Stegostoma tigrinum: one gene and its partner. The protein of the gene in region 1 binds, or shares a complex with, the protein of each later gene. Links are inferred from orthologs where the notes say so. Each region holds a gene or a part of one and is shown on either strand. Other genes may lie near its edges.

Evidence for each region.
Region 2: the proteins of metal transporter CNNM3 (region 1) and protein tyrosine phosphatase type IVA 3-like are in contact, whole or in part, in a crystal structure (PDB 5TSR), measured with the Homo sapiens proteins. The link is inferred for Stegostoma tigrinum from reciprocal best matches to the Homo sapiens genes CNNM3 and PTP4A3. Residues at the interface, in NP_060093.3 of Homo sapiens: Ser357, Asn358, Phe394, Asp396, Lys418, Val419, Asn421, Glu424, Gly425, Asp426, Pro427, Phe428, Tyr429; in NP_001425170.1 of Homo sapiens: Asn5, Pro7, Asp72, Gly73, Ala74, Val105, Ala106, Leu108, Gly109, Arg110, Arg137, Arg138, Gly139, Ala140, Ile141, Asn142, Lys144, Gln145.

Annotation. Positions count from the first base shown.
Region 1 is NC_081393.1:16,746,964-16,757,699, forward strand, and holds the start of metal transporter CNNM3, read right to left. Parts: upstream 7,399-10,736; 5' UTR 7,396-7,398; coding exon 6,084-7,395; intron 3,088-6,083; coding exon 2,947-3,087; intron 491-2,946; coding exon 338-490; intron 1-337. UniProt on the Homo sapiens protein: Probable metal transporter.
Region 2 is NC_081358.1:110,695,321-110,706,056, forward strand, and holds the start of protein tyrosine phosphatase type IVA 3-like, read left to right. Parts: upstream 1-3,404; 5' UTR 3,405-3,496; exon of another isoform or gene 3,497-3,573; intron 3,574-3,666; exon of another isoform or gene 3,667-3,878; intron 3,879-3,944; exon of another isoform or gene 3,945-4,020; intron 4,021-7,890; exon of another isoform or gene 7,891-7,909; intron 7,910-10,736. UniProt on the Homo sapiens protein: Protein tyrosine phosphatase which stimulates progression from G1 into S phase during mitosis. Enhances cell proliferation, cell motility and invasive activity, and promotes cancer metastasis.

The DNA.
Region 1 (10,736 bases):
CCCAACTATCTACAGCTCCCCCCACCTACACACGCACACAGACACACACACACGCACAGAGACATGCACACACAGAGCAACAATGCAAGATTTCAGTCTTTGATCTCTCAGCCAACACCAGACAGTATTACAAATTTCAGCACAGCGCTGATCTCCCCAAACACTTTTGCCAGGCTAAAACTAAAAGCCTGTCAACTAAGTAGCTGACTTGCCCTTCAAACTCACAGATTTTTCTCTTCAGAAAACATTGCACATTTTGGAGAGGAACCAAAGACACTTACACTCTACCACCCCTCTCACAACCCAGCCTTTTCCCCAGCAGTAACTGTCTCCCTACCTCTGGATAAGAAGCGCTGAGTTGCTAGTAAAAGCTGGGGTGAAATCTTTCCCTTTAGATCGATATCAGGCACCTTAAAAAATGAGACTTCTTCCTTCTTGCGCTCAACAGAAGTGCTGATGGGAGCAGGCTTTTTCTTCACCTTGACCTGCGCTGTAGAAGGAACAGAAAATTGAAAAAACAACTGGAACTGACTGAGAGTCTTTGAGCCACTTGTGATTTGCTCCCAATCCTCTGCTACCATCTCAGCAAATCAACACAGGTCATTCCCATTTGAAATGTCAATCATTTTTCATGTGAGATCCCAGCTTAAAAAAAGAGCACCATCCATCATGAAGCTCACGTGCACCCTTCAAAGGCCAGAAGATTATTCTCTGTGACTGTCGGATGATCGACACCAAGTGTGTTCTGCACTATTGGAGATGCGATACTGAAGAAGCACTGCATCAGAGGGGGAGGACCGCGGGACCACTGTATCATTGGAGAAGCACTACAGTTGGGAATGTAGAGCTGTTAAAGAGGGACAGTCTTTGTAGTCTAAGGGCCTTTTCTCAGCTTTGATTACTTGTATCTTTACGGGCTGGAAATCAATATTATTGCACAAGAGTCACAATGCTGTATAACTGATTTCTGTGCCCTCGATTGAGGAGCCTGAAGCTAGGTGGCACTTTCACAAAAGGCAGAACATTACTGAGCAGGTACAATGAGCAGTTACAGAGGCAAATGGCACTTTAGTCTTAATTGCCAATGGAACGGAATCAAGAAAGTCAGGCTCCAAACGTACAGGGCTTTAATGAGGCCACATCTGGAATTGTGGATGCAGTCCATATTTTAGGAAGGATAGACTTGCCCTGAAATTGGTGCCAATGTTGTAACTGTCAACTGTCATTCAAAACCCACGTGGTTCACTCCTCCTTTAAGAAATTTGCTTGTGGTAACTAAAAGGTAAAGTCGCCATAATCCTACCATTAGAGATGCACAACTGGTTGTGATTTAACCCGAGGGTCACTGAGGTGAGGGGAGAGGTTGCGAAGGGAAGTCCCTCACAGGTAACTTCAGCCAGTGCAGGAATTAACCCAAGCTGTTGGCATCGCTCTGTATCGCAAACCAGCCAACTGAGATTTTTTCTAATTATTCATTTCGTGGGATGTGGGCGACACTGCCTGGCGGGCATTTCTCACCCATCCCTAGTTGCCCTTGAGAAGGTGATGGTGAGCTGCCTTCTTGAGCCGCTGCATTCCTCCTGCTGTGGGTTGACCTACAATGCTATGAGGGGGGGAATTCCAGGATTTTGACCCAGCGACAGTGAAGAAACGGTCAGGGTGGCGAGTGGCTTGGAAAGGAGCTTGGAGGTGGTGGTGTTCCCATGTATCTGCTGCCCTTGTCCTTCTAGATGGAAATGGTCATGGGTTTGGAAGGCACTGCCTGAGGATCATTGGTGGATTTCCTCAAAGTCGGAGATAACAGAAGTGACAGGAGTAAAGTCTTTTCACAAGGGGTCAGATTGGAAGACACAACAGCAGAATGCAGGCTCAGTTGGGGTTTTCTACAGGGAATGTGACTGCCATCTGTAAAGGAAGAACGTGCAGGATTACAGCGAGAAGATGGAGAATGGCACAGAGATGCTTATTCAGAGAACCAGTACAAATAGTGGGGCAAATGGCCTACTGCTGCACCATAAAAAAAAATCACACGAGCTTCAAGGCAGCGGCACACCCTCACGTTTTCAAAGGGAAAAAGAGCAATAAATGCCTGTCTTGCTTGTAGCACCAATGTCCCTGGAATGAATTTGCACAAGAAAGTAGAAGGAAATTGATCCATCCTCTGCTTTACAGGGTGTCCTGTGGTGAATCAGCATTAGTGTTGCAGTTTTTGGTGTAATGTAAGTCATACTAAACATGTATGTAACCTTGGTTAGGACCACACAAGTCGTGTTTGGGCTACTAAAGAAAGAACTTGAGCGGCACCAAAGGGCAAGAAAAAAGTATGCTAAAAGTCCAAGAACTGAGATACACGTGAAAAAAAAGTGGACAGACTGGGGGCTCTCTGCTCTAAGCAGGTCCAAGTTCAAGATCATGGATAATTTTGATAGGACAGATACACGTAAATTTCCAAGAGCAGGAAATACCAGAACCAGCAGCCATAAATCAATGGTGGTCACTTATAAATCCAACAGGAAATTCAAGAGAAACGGTTGGACTGTGGAACACACAAACACAGTGGAAATTTGAGATCATCAGCAGAGATGCGTTTAATGGCAAGGCAGATCAACAAGACAGAGAAACAAACAGAAGGATATGCTGAATATGCATTTCTGAAAAAAAGGGTCTGGGTTCAAAACGTCAGCCTTTACACTCCTCTGATGCTGCTTGGCCTGCTGTGTTCATCCAGCTCTGACACCTTGTTATCTTAGAAGGACATGCTGAATGGGTGAAAAGAAGATGACAGAGAGGACATTTGTATAGACGATAGACATTGGCACAAAGTTGCAAGACAGAATGGTCAGTCCCTGAAATGAAATGCTGAATAATCCTGTTGAGAAGGAGATTAGTGACGCCACCCCCAACTTCAAAAGCCATCACTTCGAAACTCCTATTGTTTCTACTTACTATTATCTGATTCGTCGAGGATCTCAGATTTGATTATTTCTTCGATGACATCCCCAAGGGTCACTAAACCAAGCACCTCGTAGAAGGGATCACCATCGCCTTCGTTGTTCACCTTCTGAACCATTGCCATATGAGATTTGCCTCAAAACAAAAAGACAAACACAGCATTGTTATAACCACAGAACAGGGTTAGATAATAAAAAACAACCAAGATTAACTTGGATTTAAGTCTTTTTCAGAGAGGTTTAATTTCCTTGCTGCTGTACATCTCCCGCTCTGATAATCTGCAAATATGGAAAGGACAAAGGAGAGACTAGAACTAAGGGGTGTTGCTTACAAATTAGAGGTCTCCTGTTCCAGACAGAGGGGAAAACTCAGACAGCAGTAAAAGCAGGGTCACTGAATATTTTTAAGGCTGATTCAGAACTGATAGGGGAGTCAAAGATATTGGGAAGTCATTTACATTTAGTTTCTTTATTCTTCAATGGGATGTGGGTACTGCTGGAAAGGCCAGCATTTGTTGCCCATCTCCAGATGTCCTATACTGAAGTGGTTTACTTGGCTATTTCAGAGGGCTGAGTCAACCACATTGCTGTGCACCTGGAGCGGCTTTCCACTAATTTTCTTGCTGGCTGCTCAAGTCTCCAAGGCACGTGCACAGCATTGTCTTCTGGAATTGGGAGTCAATGCCGCATCGGAAGTCAATGCTGCATTTGGAATCTTTTCCACCGATCGCCGTGCATACAACACAAGCACAACTGGCAACTAGGAGGGGACACTATTCTGGAATCTCACTGGCCAGACCGGGTAAGTATGAAGAACGTCCTTCCCTAAAGGGCATTTAGTGATCCAGATGGGTTTTTAAGGCTATCAACAATAAGTTTTTATACCTTCACCAACTCCAGTTTTATATACCAAAATAATTCACTGAATTCAAGTTCTGTCAGCCTCTGGATTACTAATTCAGTGACATTACCACCACCTTCTCTTAGCTTGTTTTACTGAACGTTGAGGTCTACTGAAAGGGAATTAGAATTAGGCTGAATTTGAAAATAAAAGCGTGCGCATGATTATGGAGAGGAGGAGGAAAAATGTTAATCAGTGAATTGCACAAACAGAATGGTGTCTTTCTGTCCTGTAACAGTTCTGTGTTGCTTTTGCACACCCTGATTGAGAGTGGTAGGCCCTTTTGCTCTAAGCCTTCAGCTGAAGTTGCTCAGTACCCCGTGTGTGTGTGTGTGTGTGTGTGTGTGTGTGTGTGTGTGTGTGTGTGTGTGTGTGTGTGTGTGGCGGGGGGGGGGGGGGGGGGGGGGGGGGGCGGCAGCATCTGGCTGGCATTTCAGGCAATCACTGCAAAGAAAGTTTGAAGTTAATATATCAACAACCCGTACTCAAGCTCCTAACAGGAGTCAGGGGATCCTGGCTAAATCGGTCAGGAGAGGCAGAATGGGACATAAAATCCTGGAAAAATGAACTGGGCATTCTCAAATAAAACAGTAGGTTTCTCAAATTGACAATGGAAAGTGGGACCATAATTGTGCTTCTGCTCACAAATTCAAACAGGATACATTGAGATGATCTAGAAAGCAAATGAGAGGCCCCTCTACATCTTAAAGTAGAAGTCATCAACAATATTTAGCCACACCAAGATCTGACATTGATACAAATGCTTTTAGATTGAGAAATGTTTTAGAAATTCCCTAACCAGTTCAAGCAACAGTTCATGACCTGAAGGCTGCCTGCTAACTCTTGCTCATGAATAGGAGTTATTAAATATAAATCATCTCTCAAGATAATCACTATAAAACTACTTCAGCCCTACTGAACCTCTACAGTGGATCTTGTAGAATAGGTATCAGTAGTTGACCGTGTCCTTAGCTGGAATCTAGCCCCCTTGTGACAAAGCAGATAAGGCAATTTGTGTCAATGAGTGCTGACAAACAGCAAAGCGTTAACAACCGCCACCAAACCTTTTGAGTTATCGAGCTTCATGGCTTCAGGTCAACCACTAGAATAGGCATCAGTGAGCCTATCAGGTGGAGGCCATTCAACCCACCGTGGTCTTTCAAAGGACTTCCTCCACGCTCCACCTGATATACATTTTAAAGTTACCAGTGAATCTGCCAACATCACCCTTTCAGGTCCTGCAAACTCTTGTGCTGCCTTTGGTTCTTTCGAAACTGAAATTTTGCACACTCTGGTTACTGACCCTCCAATTACTGGAAACATTTTCTCCCAGTTTTATTAAAAATCATTTACAATTTGGAAAAACATCAATCGACTCTCCTTTTCCCTGGTATGAGAATAACTGCAGCTCCTGTCCTTAAAGTGAATTTAAAAGGTGTAGAAGCAGAATAGTCCATTCAGCCCATCAAATCTGCTGCTATTCGATGAGATCGTGGTTGACCGAGTAATCAACTCCACTTTTCTGCCTTTTCCCCCATGTCTTTTGATTCCCTTAAATATTACAAACATGTCTGTCTCAGAATTTAAATGCAAATAAAGCTAGTCTCAGTGTTTGCAACTCTGACAATTGTTGTCAATTCACGTAAAGATGGCAGATGGGTTTTTACCCGATCTGGCTTATATGACTCCGATCGACAGCAACGTGGTTGACTCTGAACAGGTCAGGCAAACAACTCAGTTCATGGGAAATCGGTGATGGTCAGCAAATACCCACATCGCATAAAAGAGAGAGAAAAGGTCTTTTCTTCCTTCAGTTATCCATCCAGAATATTCAACACAATATCTCTCACTGTGCCACTCTAAGACTATTTCTAAAACTGATGTTTTTGTTAAACACAACCGTGTCAACTTGCCTAACTGCAGTTCGAGAATCGTGTAGGTGATCCCACAACTGAACTACAGCACTAGATTGTGAAATAGGACCAGAGTAGAAAGAACCTGGGAGAGAAACAAAATTGAAACATACAATAAAACACTCTGTGGTGCTTCTCTAGCAGGGCCCCTGGATTACAGTGGGGAAAAACATGGTGGTGTGTGAAGATCTCCAGGCAGATCTAAAAAGTTCAGGTCACCACGAGCACACCTTGTTCAAAAGCCCTTCAGAAAGCATGGGGCAAATTAATGTTTCCTTTTGGATGGTGGAACAGATTCCACCAGTGATAAACAATCACCTTTCTTAAACTCTTCCAGGACAGCATCCAACTTGGTGTCATTGAACACAAAATGCAGGGGGTGGTTGTAGAATTTGATGATGGTATTCAAAGGAGTGCAGTCCTCAGGGTCGACCATGGCCAAGTCTTTCACGTAGACAATGTCCACAATGTTGGATATCTCCCCCTCATAGACTGGGATCCTGGTGTAGCCACACTGCATGATTTCAGACATGGTGTTGAAGTCCAGCACAGCTTCAGCACTGAGCATGAAACAGTCCTTCAGGCTGGTCATGATGTCCTCCACGACTTTGGTCCTCAGTGTACCACGGCTGAACTCCTCCTTGACAAATTCGCTGTAGGGGTCGGTGGAGCGCAACATGTCCAGGATCTTCTCACGGACGTAGCAGGTGCTGACGTCCTGGCGCAGGGCGCAGTCCAGTAGCAGGGCGACGGGAAGGACCAGCGGCGATGCCAGCACCACCAGCAGGCGGGTCAGCCAGGTAGCATGGGAGGCCACGGTGAAGCCGTACCGCGAGCAGATGGCATAGGGCACCACTTCACCCAGGAGGAAGAGCAGGCCGGCACAGGCCAGCACGGCCGGCAGGACAGTGCCCACTGCATGGTGGAGCAGCACTGCCAGGCACGAGCTGGCGAGCACGTTGCCCAGCACCAGGGAGCAGAGCACCAGGTTCCCCCGCCGCCTCAGGGGCTCTAGCGACTCGGCTCGCCGCTTCTCCGCCTCGGTGCCGCAGTGGCGGATGATGTGCAGCTCCAGGGGCTCCAGCCACAGCACGCTGAGGCGCAGCAGGTTGAGAAGCGCCGAGGCGAGCAGCAGGACGGCCAGCGCCAGCACCTGGCCCCACACCGACAGCGGGGACGGCGGAGGCCGGATGTCCAACGGGGTCTCCCAGCCTCCAGGGGGCTGCCACAGGCCCCTCTCCCGGTGCACCAGGGCGCACAGGTAGTAACGCCTCCCCCGCAGGCCGGCCCGGACGCTCACCAACACCGAGCCGTCCGTCTGGTTATCCCCCAGGTCCAGCCAGGCCGTCTCCAGGCTGCCGCTGCCGCACTCGGGCTCGGGGCTGTAGGCCAACCAGGGCCAGCTCTCGGCCACCAGGCGCCGGCCGAACACCCTCAGCTGGAAACGGGCCCCAGCGCCGGCTTCGATAGCGCCACCCGCCATCCGCACCGGGCCTCCGCCTTCGCCACTACTGCCGCCGCCCTCCAGCCGGACCCCCCGCACCTCGACCTCGCCCCCGTCCGGCTGCCCGGACGCCAGGGCCCACAGGGCGGCCAGCGCCAAGCGCAGGCTCCCGTCGACCGCCGCCATATTCGCGGGAAGGTGGGCAAATGTGAGGGGGTGGGCTCATCTTGAGCCCGCCCCGTTTCCGTGGACAACCTAACTCGCTCGTTGACCCTGCCGACCAATCGCTGACCTCTGCCGCTGATTGAGACCCTCTCCGTCCAATTGCCGGCCGAACTCGCCCGATTGACGGCTTCAACCACTCCATCCTTGGCACGCTCCTGTTGTCCGACAGTCGCCCCATCCAATCGAGACTCGAAGCAGCGACTGACCGGCATCCAACCCGGCCACTAATCGTGCTCTGCGCCCCACCCAACGTCCCACACTGGCCAATCATAATCAGAAGGGGACAGGGAGACCACCTTTGCCCAAGGTTGGGTGAGTGTGCAGGGTAAACAACACCCAAAGCAGTGATTCTTAAAGGGGGAAAGTCACCAGGATCCTCACCACAAATACGACACACCTCTCCCCCTAGTGAAAACAATAGCTGCATTACAGAAGGAATCTGCTTTTGTTTTATTTCAAGGTCCCACCCTCAAACATTTTCCAACTGAATACAGAAAGCTTGTGTCGAATTGGAAAAGGGATTTTACTTCGTTTGAAGTGACTGGGTTAGAGCAGCAGAATTAGTCCATTCAACCCAAGTCTGCTCTACCCTTGATCCCCTTAAAGGCAAACACATCTCTCGCTTAAATACACGCACTGACTTGACCTCTACAGCCGCGAGTTTCACAGATTCACCATGCCCTGGCTGGGGATTCTTCCTCATCTCAGTCCTAAACTGCCATCCCTTCATCAGAGGCTGTGCTCTCACGTACAATTCTCTCCTACTAATAAGAAACACCTTGTCCACTTTTATCCAGATCTCTCTGTATTCTGTTTCAATCAGATCCATCCACCATCCCTCTGAACGCCATCAAGTGCAGAGTCCTCCACTGCTCCTGAACATGACAAGCCCTCCATCCTCAGGATGAGTCTTGTAAACCTCCCGTGTCCCCTCAACTGGCGGCATATCCTTCCTTCAGTACAGGGCCCAAAACTGCTCACACTTTTCCAAGTGCAGTCTAACCACAGCCTTATAGAGCAGTACATCCCTAGCATTCTATTCTCACTCTCTCAGAGTGAGTGCTAACACTAATGCTGCATTAGCCTTCCTAACTGCCAACTAAACCTGTATGTTAACCTTACAGAACCCTGAATTAGCACTCCCAAGTCCCTTTATGCCTCAGTTTTCTGATGCCTTTCCCCATTTAGAAAATAGGGAGGAACAAGAGGTGTAACCTAAATGCATCACCTCTCACCTTCCCACATCATGGCAGATGGAACACATTTTTGCCTAGTCTCTTCACCTGTCCAAGCCCTTCTGCAGCCTCCCTGCTTCCTCAAGACTACCTGGCCTTCCACCTATCTTTTTTAAAAATAAAATCAAAAAGAACTGTGAATGCTGTAAATCAGGAACAAAAACAAAGTTGCTGGAAAAGCTCATCTGTGGAGGAGAAAATAGAGTTAACGTTTCAGGTCCAGTGACCCTTCCTCTGTTTTTCCCCTCCACAGGCAAAATCTGCCAAAACAAAGGGTACCCTGGATAGCACTGGGGTCTCCAGTAACTAACTTTAAGCCACATGGATTCTGGGCTGATGATTTTTAAAATTAGAAGTCTTTGAGATGGCCATCCATTCGAGAATGGGATAAAACCAATTGCAACACAGATACAGGCCATTTGGCCCATCTGTTCAATAGCCGTATTTATGCACCCTAACAGCCAGCTACAGAAGGCTGCAGAGTCCTATATTTAAGAAATAAATGAATTTCTAGTCAGTCAAGACATGTAATAGAGGGGGGGAAAGAGAAGGTAAAGGGTCGATCAAAATTTGGTACTGAACCAAGCAAAATAGTACTACAGGTCTTTAAGAAGGGTCACAAAAGAAGAAAGGATGTACAATGGCTGGAGTGATTCCAAGAGCCACCTCCTGTTTTTCCCCTTGATAAAAGGCAGAAATAGGAATGAGTGTAGGCCAATCAATCAGCCCATAGCAACTGCTCCATCATTCGTCATGATCGACCTTTTACCTTCTCTCCCTGTACTATTACATGCCTTGAACGACTAGAAATTCATTTATTTCTTAAAAAATATAGGACTCCACAGCCTTCTGTAGGCAGAAATTTCCACAGGTTCACCACCCTGAATGAAGGCATTAGGACTGGGGCAAGGATTAAACAGCCTCCCTACATCCGGAGACCACGTTCTATTCATATTCTCCTCGCCACTTGCCTCTCAAGTACCAAGATATGTTTAGTGAAAAGCTAGTTTTGTTAATGATCTGTCTCCAAGCCAACATTGAGTACAGTGAGGCAAATCAGGAGGAGTTTTGTTACTATCGATTCCAGTTAATAGCTACCTATTAGTTATGGACAGACATACTATTCCTGTCTATCAAACTTCTTCAGAATTTTAAAGACCCTTTTGAGAGGCATGCCTTCTTTCTTCTACCTCTTGGCTACTGTTTCCTATAATACAAACTTGATTGCAATTCAGAACTACTCTATTGGGTAGAACAAACCGGTGGATAGCTGGAGGGCTCAAGGTGCTATAGAGATGCAAGCTCTCATTTCCCATGAACTTGGTAGTATACAGCACAGATTTTCTTTATGAATGCTAGTTATTGGGGGAGGGTAAAGTGGCTTGAATTCAGTGTTGTAACAGGGCACTGTGAAACAAAATTTGGTGCTAAGCCACGCAGCACATTAGGACAGGTCTTTAAAGATGGTCAACAAGAGAAGAAAGAGGTGCGATGGCCAGAGGGATTTCCAGAGCCGAGGGCCTGGGAACGGCTGAAGGCACGGCTGCCAACATTGGCACAGGTTAAATGAGGAAAGCTGAAAACGGATAAAGGGAACACAGACGGAGTGCTAAATGAGGGAGATTTACTCCACAAAGACATTTGAAAATAAGAACGAGAACTTTAAAAATCAAGACATTGGTTGACGAGCACAGGTCAGGTCAGGTCAGGTCAGGTCAGTGAGCACTTTGTAGTGAATTTTGCCAGTCTTGCCATTTAGCAGGAACCTAACTCTACTCTCCAAACAACACTGGGTACAATTCTCAGATTTAAAAAGCTCTTTGAATCCCTTGCATTGGGCCATGTCCTTAGTAATAATCACTATTCATACTCAGTTTGGTTCTCTAAATACACATGCACCTTTTTGGAACAGGCTCTTTTGAAGTTACTTGCAAAGTTCAAGGTAAAGCTTAACTTGTAAGTCAAGATAAATGCAGACTTGGTGCTGAACCCTATGCTTCCCCCACTGTATAATCCCCTACCATGGTACTTGGAAAACAATGCATCATGTTGCAGCAAATCCACAGG
Region 2 (10,736 bases), on another chromosome or scaffold:
CAGTAAACTGTTTCTCGCAGCTGGATAAATACCCAATTGCTTGCATAGAGGTCTCATACACAGAGTTGGTCAGGGTGCCGTCCTTCACAGAGCTGGAGCTGAGCCATGCATAACTGCATCTGCAGTTAGATGAAAATTCCCAGAAGTATGTTACAATTAAAACCTATAACCGTTTGCACCACATAAAAAACTGCCATTTAAGGCATCATCATGTGCCTTTTTCAGCGGATGATGGAAAACATTTTTCAAGGTCTTTAGATATTTCTCCAAGATGGGGGTACACCTTAGAAGGCAAAAATGTGTGTTCCAGTCAACTCAAGTGACCTACTTGGGCTAGAGTCAACGGGATTAGATTACACCCATTTGAAAACAAAGTGAGGGAGATCAAAGGTGTCTTGGTTCTCATGGCTGTGCTGGAGCTTAGGTCTTTCCTTGGATTGGTGAATTATCACAGGAGGTTTGGATGTACCTGGCCTCCATCCTGCCACCCTTACATCCACCATTGAAAAAGGGTCAGCCTTCGAAACAGTCTTCTAGCCAAGACACAGCCTTTGGGGAAGTTAAAGAAACAGCCAACACAGAAAATAGGTGCAGGAGTAGGCCATTCAGCCCTTTGTGCTTCTATCACCATTCAATATGATTCTGGCTGATCATGCAATCTCAGTATCCTATTCCTGTATTTCCCCCATATTCCTTGATCGCTTTAGCTGCAAGGGCCACATCCAACTCTTCCTGAATATATCTAATGAACTGGCCCCGGCAGCTTCCTGTAGAAGGGAGTTCCACAGGTTCACAACTCTGAATGAAGAAATTCTTCATCATATTCCTCATGAATGGCTTAGACCTTAGACTGTGACCCCTAGTTTTGGACTTCCCCAACATCAGGAACATTCTTCTCGCATCTGGCATGTCCAGTCCTATCAGGATTTTGTATATTTCTATGAGATCACCAGCTCATTCTTCTAAATTCCAGTAAATGTGATCTAGTCTTTCCTCATATGTTCATCCTGCCATCCCAGGAATCAGTCTGGTGAACCTACTCAATAGCAAGAAAGCCCTTCCTCAGAACAGAAGACTTTTTTTAAGAAGGCCCTGTATAACTGTTGCAAGACATCACTATTCCGGTTGTCAAATCCTCTTGCTATCAAAAGCCAGCACGCCATTAGCTATGCTCACTGCCTGCAAGTCAACCTTCAGTGATTGTTTCTAGATCTTGTTGCACTTCACCTTTTCCTAAACTGCCACCATTCAGATAATAAACTGCCTTCCTGTTTTTGCATCCAAAGTGGATAATCCACATTATATTGCGCTTGCCAACTGAGCCAGTCCAAGTCACCCTGCAGCCTCTTAGCATCCTCCTGACAGCACACACTGCCACCCAGCTTAGTATCATCTGCAAATTTGGAAACATTGCACTCATTTCACTAGATACCAAACTGCTCTGGTTTCTATTTGATTAGCGGAACATTATATCGTATATCTTAAGGGGTAGCTCCAGCAGAGTTGCCAATGGGGAGCAGGCTCCGCATGAGGTTAAATCTGATTTTCCTGGACCTTCGGATGGGCAGGGTGATGCAGAATCAGGACAACCACTGCTGGACACAAGACTCCTCTAAGCAAGAGAAACAGTTTGCTTTAGGAATCAAGTTTGGTGCCGATACCAGGAAAACGACCCTGCATGGATAAGAAGCGAGGTCAATGCAGAGTCAGGTCCTGAGACATACAAAGTTCAGGTCGGTGAGGTGGTCCTGGACAAGCATGCGGAGCACACGAAAGTTGTAAACCCACCAGCAGGATAGCAGCAAAACACGCCTGGACTGTCAGAATAGTCAGAAACTCTGTCAGAACCCTGGGGTTCTCCCCTCCGTCTAGCATCGAAGAAACATTAGAACTGGAGATGGACACAGAGGATTACGCATTCTTAATGCCTTCACCACCTTAAGAAGAAGATAAATTTCCTCAAAGACGTTCCAGACACAAGTGGGAGGCTACGGTCCGATACAAGCTGCCTGTATCCAAGGCTGAGTTGGAAGAACCAGATTCAGTGAGAAAGTGTCCCAGGAGAAGCTAACAAATAAGAACAGGCCTATGTCCCAGGACCTAGACGGGAAGGGTTGCAGAATTGGAATGGAGTCTGCCAAGTGGATCTCAGAGTTCCCTGATTGGAGCTATTAACCTGGTTCAATCAGTGAGCCCTGGCTGACAGGTATGATCAGGAGTGTCAGAAGTTCCGTTCACTCTGAGAACTAGCTCTGAGGTAGCCAGACCATTATCAAAGATAACAAAGTGGGGATCCCGTCCCTACCTATACTCTCCTCTCCACCTATGTTCTCCTCTATCCATCTTCAATCCACCTCCCCCTCTCTCCATCCCCCTCTCTGATGAAGGGTCCAGGCCTGAAACATCAGCTTTTGTGCTCCTGAGATGCTGCTTGGCCTGCTGTGCTTATCCAGCTTCACACTTTGTTATCTTGGATTCTCCATCATCTGCAGTTCCGATTATCTCAGACCATTATCAAAGCCTGGTTTGGTGACAGGATACCTTCCTCTGTTGAGTTATTTCAAAAGCAAAACTTGCAGCAACCAGTTGACATAGGCCAAAATGAAAGGTGGTGGTTGGGGGAAGGGCTTGGAGGAAGTATTAGAAAGACTGTAACAAATATCATTCGTTCAGGACCATCATTTGCATTTTGTTAGGCAAAATGAATGTGTCAAAGGCAGAACAAAAAAATATTGCTGGAGAAACTCAGCAGCATTTGTGGAGAGAAAGCAGTGTTAATATTTTGAGTCCAGGGACCCTTGTTCAGAACCTACTGAGTTTCTGTTTTTGCTTTTGCTTCAGTTTCCCAGTATCTGCAGTTCTTTGTTTCTTGAATCTTTGGACTTGAAATGTTAACTCTGTTTGTATCAGGTAAAGGCTGAGGGGTCCACAGACCCAAAACGTCGAATGTCCGTCTCCTCCGGCGCTGTCTGACCTGCTGAGCTCCTCCAGCTCCACATTTTATCAACCCTGCGTTCCTGCATTTGCAGTCCTATATTTTAAATGGTTGCATTTTCTTCCAGTATAAAATTGAAACTACAATTCATGGATGTGCCAGTCCAACTGGCAACAAAACACCATGAAGAACCTAACCCAGACTCACTGCAGGCGGTAAGAAAAGATTGGCGGGAAATATAGAGAGCGGAAATGACGCGAGGGTGGGACATGGTTACACAGAGAGCCCAAGTGGAGGAAGGGAGGGCAGAAACAACAATGGAGTTGCGTTTTTTTCTAAAATCAAAGGTTTTTTTTAAAAAAAAACCTGAATGAGTGTGGTCACTTTTGTTTGCTGTTTGTTATTGTGATTAATTTTCTCTCCTGGTCCCACACTTCAGGGTTGACCTATGACCTGACGCTGACGTCCCCTAGCGACGGCGGCTGGAACACATGGTAACACCGGCCCTGGGATAGGAGGAGGCAGCACAGAGAGAGAGAGAGAGTGGCTGTGTGAATGAGAGTGAGTGAACGCCAGGAGCTGTCCCTCACCACCGTCATTCTGTACTATTCGGGCTTTAAATGAACAGGTGTCGCGCAGTGAGTAACAAACCCTCCATTATCTTGACTCTGCTGGAGAAACTTACCATCCCACTGCCAAACACCTCCCAAGCAACGCCCACTTCACCCCTCCTCTCCCAAACACACACACACACACACCATCTTCCCTTTAGCTTTCCTCCGGAGAGCTTTTCAGTTTCTTTTGTTATATGGCTTTCAATTTAAGTTTTAATGGGTCAAAAATATTATTTTATTTCGTGTATGTGTGGCCGGTGTTGTTGACGTCCACTTTCTCAAGCGAGGAAGGCCGGTGCTTTCACCTCACCTTGGAGATCCCATCTTGAGTATGTGGCTGCTCCTTTTCCTTTGTGTGTGTGTGTGTGTGTGTGTCTCTCTCTCTCTTTCCTGCGCATTTGAACTCTTGGAGGCAAATGGGACTTTTTTCCAGGCTCTGTCTCTCCCTTCCTCTCCGAGTACACTGTACAGGTGTCTACCCGGTTTATAATCTGTTCATTGTGTGTTTTATTTTAGGAAATGGTTTTATTTTGTTAGTGTTGGGTATGGTATCTGAAGGAAATTTACAAAGAGGGCTGTGATCTCTGGAGGTTGCACTGCAAAAAGAGAAACTGCATATCATGTAGTGCCGTTGAGGAATACCAAAGCCCTTCACCATATGTGGTCAGAGGATTCAATGTGTGCAAGTTTTCCATCTCTTCCCTACGTTTATTTCTGAATGATCACTGCATTTTATATATGTTTAATTACGTTATTTAACTCTTGCAGCACAACTTGTGGGGCCACATGGAAGCTTTTGAAGACTCAGTAATTTGGTTACATTCCTGTCTTCAGTAATGTACTTAATTTCCTGAATATTGGGAAGTCTTTTAGTGTCTAAGAAACATATTGCGGATGCTTGAATGGAGGAAATTTTATAGTTTTAATTCACACATACTTCTGGCTTTCTTGTTTGCCCCTTTCGTGACCAACCATTTTCAGAATTGGAAAAAGGGGTGAATTATCCTGACATTGCAACATGGTTTTCTATAGCAAAAACAGAAATAGCTGGAAAAAGTCAGGCCTGGCAGCATCTGTGGAGAGAAATCAGAATTTTTTAACCAAGGTCACTGGACTCGAAAGGTTAACTTTGATTTCTCTCCACAAATACTGACAGACCTGCTGTGCTTTTCCAGCAACTTTTTTTTGTTTTTAGCATCTGCAGTTCTTTTGGGTTTTTTTTTAAAAGCTGATTTTCTACCTTTTTTGTGCTTAAATGGCTTGCTTACATGATTTTGTAAATCACTGGTGAGTGTCAGATGGTCTGAAATACATTTATGTTTGAATGTTTAATTTGCTTAGATTCAGAGAATAGGGTTTTTGTCCATATAAACAAAATGCTGTAGAAATGTTCCCTTTTAAATGTTCAGAATTGGTAATCTTAAAATAAAAATTGAAATGTATTGTTTCTTGTTTTTTAAAATTAACATCAAATATATTGTAGTGTTTAGAAACTACATGGTTGTGAGAATTCTGGAAGTGACTTCTTTGATTGTTTGAATGCCTGCAAAGAGTTTTACTATTATTTTAAATTTCGAAATCTATTCTGTCACAATTTTTTCGATGGGTCAGTAGATCATTGTACTGACTTGTTACTGAGTGGAATTGGCAGCAGCCCTGGGAGAAGGTCAGTTATTCACCCTCAGCTGAAGAAGTGTGTGCCAATTTTTTGTTTCTTTGGGGGTGGGGGCAAAAGGGTGTATTTATAGCTGAATTCAATATTAGAGCTGAATTTGTTTCATTTACTGTAACTGGTGATTGTTTATATAAAAAGGCTGATTTTCCAACTTTGTACGTATTAACGTAAGAGCAGAAGGAGCCTATTCAGTTCACTGTGCCTGCTGTGCTGTTCACTTTGAATTCTGTGCTGCTGTTTGCTTCCCCCACTCCCCCGCCAAACCAAAAAAAATCACCTAGATTGTGGTTAGACAAGGGAATCAGTCCACGTCTAACCGTCCTCATAGGGAAGCTTTGTTTTCATATTCACCTTGCCAAATCTGTATTTCAATCAAGTCATTTCTCTGTATTCTCATCTTGAGTTGGGTGGGGGGGTGGGGAGGATGGTGGATGGCAGTGGTGAGAGATGGAAAAAGTCCAGCCTTTTCAACCCATCACAAGACAACCTATTCATCTAGTAAGGAAAACAGCATCCATAGAGAGAGACCAAGCTAATGTTTCGAGTCGCGATGACTCTTCATCACTGATTAGCTTGCTGTTTTTCCATGGATGTTTTTTGATTTGCTGTGATTGCCAGCATTTGTTATTTTCAGTACGGATTCCATCATCTGCAGTAATTTATTCCTACGCTAATCTAGTAAACCTCCTTTAAATGTTTCCAACCTGTTTTAATCCTTCCTTAAATAAGGAGGCCAGAACTGCATGCAGTATTTGAGATGTCATTCTCACCGATGCCCTGCATAACTGAATATTATTATGATATCATTGCTGTTAAGTCAACTTACTCTTATCCTAAATTATTTCATTACCTTACCAAAACAGGAATTGCTGGAAAAGCTCAGCAGGTCTGGCAGCATCTGTAGAGAGAGAAGGAAAGTGTTAATGTTTCGAGTCCAGTATGACTTGTTCAGAGGCTCAAAGACTTAACATCAATTCTTTTTCTTCTTGCTTAGATGCTGTTAGACCTACTGAATTTCTCTAACACCATCTGTTTTTGTAATTTCCAAACTTTCTTTGTCTGCAAAAGGAGCTATTGTGCCTTCATCCCATCAAGATGTTTTCTAATTAGCCTGTTTGGCAATGTTATTGTGCACCTCTGAAGCAGATGAAACTTGAACTAAGGCATCCTAGCTCAAAGGAAGGCACATGATCACTACGCCACAAAAATTTCTTTGCTCCAATACAAATTGTCAGAAGCTGACACCCCAGAACAAACCCAGTGGAACTGGGGTCAGTGCTTAGTGGTGTCCCGCAGGGCTCTGTTCTTGGGCCTCTGCTCTTTGTAGTTTTTATAAATGACTTCGATGAGGAGGTTGAGGGGTGGGTTAGTTTGTTTGCTGATGACACAAAGGTTGGAGGTGCCGTTGATAGTATCGAGGGCTATTGCAGGCTTCAGCGAGACATTGACAGAATGCAGAGCTGGGCTGAGAAATGGCAGATGGAGTTCAACCTGGATAAATGCGAAGTGATGCATTTTGGAAGGTCGAACTTAAATGCTGAATATAGGATTAAAGGCAGGATTCTTGGCAGTGTGGAAGAACAGTGGGATCTTGGCGTTCAAGTGCATAGCTCCCTCAAAGTTGCCGCCCAGGTGCATAAGGTTACTAAGAAAGCATACACTGTTTTGGCTTTTATTAACAGGGGATCGAGTTTAAAAGCCGTGAGGTTATGCTGCAGCTCTACAAAACCCTGGTGAAACCACACTTGGAATATTGTGTCCAGTTCTGGTCGCCCTATTATAGGAAAGATGTGGAGGCTTTGGAGAGGGTGCAAAGGAGGTTTACCAGGATGCTGCCTGGACAGGAGGGCTTGTCTTACGAGGAGAGGTTGACTGAGCTTGGACTTTTCTCTCTGGAGAGAAGGAGGAAGAGAGGTGACTTGATCGAGGTGTACAAGGTAATGAGAGGCAGGGATAGAGTTGATAGCCAGAGACTTTTTCGCAGGGCAGGATTGACTGCCACGAGGGGTCATAGTTTTAAGGTGTTAGGAGGAAGGTATAGAGGAGACGTCAGAGGGAGGTTCTTCACCCAGAGAGTTGTGAGCGCATGGAATAGTTTACCTATGGTAGTTGTGGAAGCGGAGTCATTAGTGACATTTAAGCAACTGCTGGACATGCACATGGACAGCAGTGAATTGAGGGGAATGTAGGTTAGGTTATTTTATTTTTGGATTAGGATTATTCCACGGCACAACATTGTGGGCCGAAGGACCTGTACTGTACTGTGCTGTACTTTCCTGTGTTTTGTGTTCTATGTTATCCATTTATGCACACTGTCTAGCTAGTTGACAGAAAACAATCATTTGCCTATACTAACATATTACGACCTCCTTGTACTTTGTGCAGTAAATGTGGAACCTTGTCAGGTGCCTTCTGGAAATCCAAGTACAGCTACAGCTGATGTATTTGATGAGCAGATTGGAGCTGCGTTGCAAGCATGTGGTGGCCCGTTTGACTGATCTTTAACAATGGGCAAGAGTGCTTGGACAGAGCTATTCTACATCCCTATTTATCGCATTGTTTTGCTGTTTGTTAACTGAGCACTGTGAATAAATATCGTTGCATCTCTTGGAATCTTCAGACTTGTGGAAAGTTGTATAATGCTGCAGTTGTCGCCTTGGAAGTTTAAGTTTAAACTGATATAAGGTATGTTGGAACTAAATAGAAGGGAGTGCTGATGACCTGGTGCTAATATTGTAGTACAGTTAATCCAGAGACCAACATAATGTTCTGGGGATCCACCATGGCAAATGATAATTCCAGATTCTTATTGAATTCAAATTCTAAGAGTCTAATGTTAACTGTGAAACTGCTGTTGATTTGTTGCTCTTTAAAGCAAAATGTCTGGTTCACTAATGCCGTTTTAGGGAAGGAAAGTGCCTGCCATTCTCCATACCCACAACAATGTGGTAGTTGCTTAACTGCTTTCTGGACTATTAGGAATGAGCAATAATTGCTAGCTTAGCGAATGACAACCACATCCCACAAGATAATACAAAAAAAACTGCAGTGAAATGTTTAAGTGCACTCTTGGTTTGACATTTTGATCTTGCCCTTTGAGAAATTTCTGAATCTCTCCCACCTATTTCATTTCCCTAATTCTGTTCCCTATCTTCACATGGTTAACCCCACAAAGTAGACTTGAACTTACAAGACACAACAGTTGAACTTCTTCACTGGGATAGAGATGCTGGGTCAAAGAAGGTATTAGGAAGAATGACCTAAAGGTCAAGTAGATGTTTTTAAGAATAATCATTAAGTTGGCAGCGGGATGTTGAAGTGGAGCAGTGAAGGCAGGGGAATTCCACATTTTAGGACCTTCATATTTGATGGCACAACTGCTAAGTAGAGGGGCAAAATGAGGTACTCCAAATGTAGCTGTGTTGAAATTGGAAGAGAAGACTTTTTGCTTGAAAGTCTAACAGTCAGATTGGAACCAAGCAAGAATGGATCTACTAAACCTGACAGAAAAGGAGGTTGTCAGATGAGTATGGCATGGTTGACCATGACATTTGGAAAATGGGTAGAAGCAATATGTTTTTCCAGTCCTGTAGAAAGTGTGGAAATCTAACCATAGCAATTCTAACATAGAATTGTGAAAATAATGGACACCAAACTGAAGGTGACTGGATGTTGGATTTATGCAGTAAAGGACATTACCTAAAATTCCAGAGGAGTTGAAGGTGTTATTTGCCTCCATGTGGACATGATATCCTCTGAAATAATAGAACTATTCATTATTCCAATGAACATGAGTATCACAAATGTAAGTTGATGAAGTTGAGTGGGAAAGGATCAGAAAGCTGGAGATTGGTTTCGTGGAGATACCTTTAAAAGATGATGAGAGAGAGAATAAGTGTAGGATTTGGATTAGTGCAAGCTTTGGCTATGTAAGGGTAGGGGATGGTTTCGCTCTCAATGATGAACAGGTCCAGGGATTTTCTGCACATGACAGAAATATTAAACAGATAATCTGGTCACCTGGTCATTTAGCCTACCGTTGGATTTGCAGTGTGAAAATTGTCTGCCACATTTGCTAATAATGTCTGCCAATAATTTACTCTTTGAGAATAAATCAGTGGCAGTAAGCACTTGAGAATTCCTGAAGTTGCAAAACTTTTAAATTCAAACAATTATTTCTAACTGTCAAATGAGAACCAATGAATGGGATATAGAAGTGATTATAACATAGTTCCTTAAGACTGACTTCATGTAACTTCGCCATGTTGTTCTTGTCAACTGGGTGACTTTACCATGCAATGAATCATTGCAAAATGATAGTGCTATGCTGCACGTTCCTAAGAAATGTGCTTGAATTGCACTTGTGCTTTTGAGAAGAGAGCTGTCAAACACAGTGTGAAAGATATGAAAAAGAGAAATGTGGGCTGATAATTCAACATTAATAACTGCCAGAGGAGAAATAAGTACACAGCTGGAAAGCCAACATAAGTACAAACAAATATACTTGCTGTATGGAAACTGTAAATGCTGTATTAGAAGTTTTTGGTGCTAGATTGAATGAATTAAATTAATTTATTCATTAATTGAAATTTTTTTTAAAGAAACTTACTTTTCACCTGGCATATTTATAGTGTTAAGCAATTTTGCTTCTTTACAGGGCATTGGTTCCTATTATGTTAGGATCATGGGAGTATCACTTATAACTGACCAAAGTTAAATGATGTTGGTTGATATGAAATTGATACTGCTAAAATAGTTTCAAGAATCAGGAAGTCAGTATGTTAATAAATTGATGGAATTTGTGTGCATAAATAAACTGATTCAATTGTACAGCAGGACTGGCACAATTTTTGTTCTTAACTTCTCAGTACATGTTGCCCTGTATATGATGGTGGAAGTGAGATGCTGATGTACTAGAGTAATGTATAATTATAGTGTATTTTGGAGCTGAAAGGTGTGTTCTTTGCTGGAGCTGGTCTTGGAATTTCTAGTACTTGAACCAAAAAAGGGGTGAGCTGAGTGTGTCTGCCTTTTGGGGTGAAGGAAGTTGCATGGCAAAAGATGCTGAATGTGAGAGTGCTTGCACTTACTGGATGAGAAAATAATTTGATAAGTTGTCAATACCGTTCTCTTCTTTTGTTGTCCAGGTGTGTGTGCGCCTGTTATTGTGTTATCTCTTCATTTGTAGCTGGTGAATCATCTATAATGCCTTCTCTCCCTCTTTGCACATAGTTTCTTCTGGTTTCTCTCAAACATCAGTTCTTGGTCCCCTCATATCTACATGCCAATCCTCAGCATCAACATTGGAAAATAGTTTTCATACAGATCCTGACAACTCCTAGCTCTACATCACTGTTACCCCAACTTGACCACTTTACTATCTCTAAATTGTCAGACTGTTTGCCTAGCAAACAACACTGGATGAGCAGCAATTGAACAGGAAGAGGTATTGGGAATCTTGAAGCTATTGTTTTGGGTCCCCATCATTGCTTCCTCTGCCAACGCTTTATCA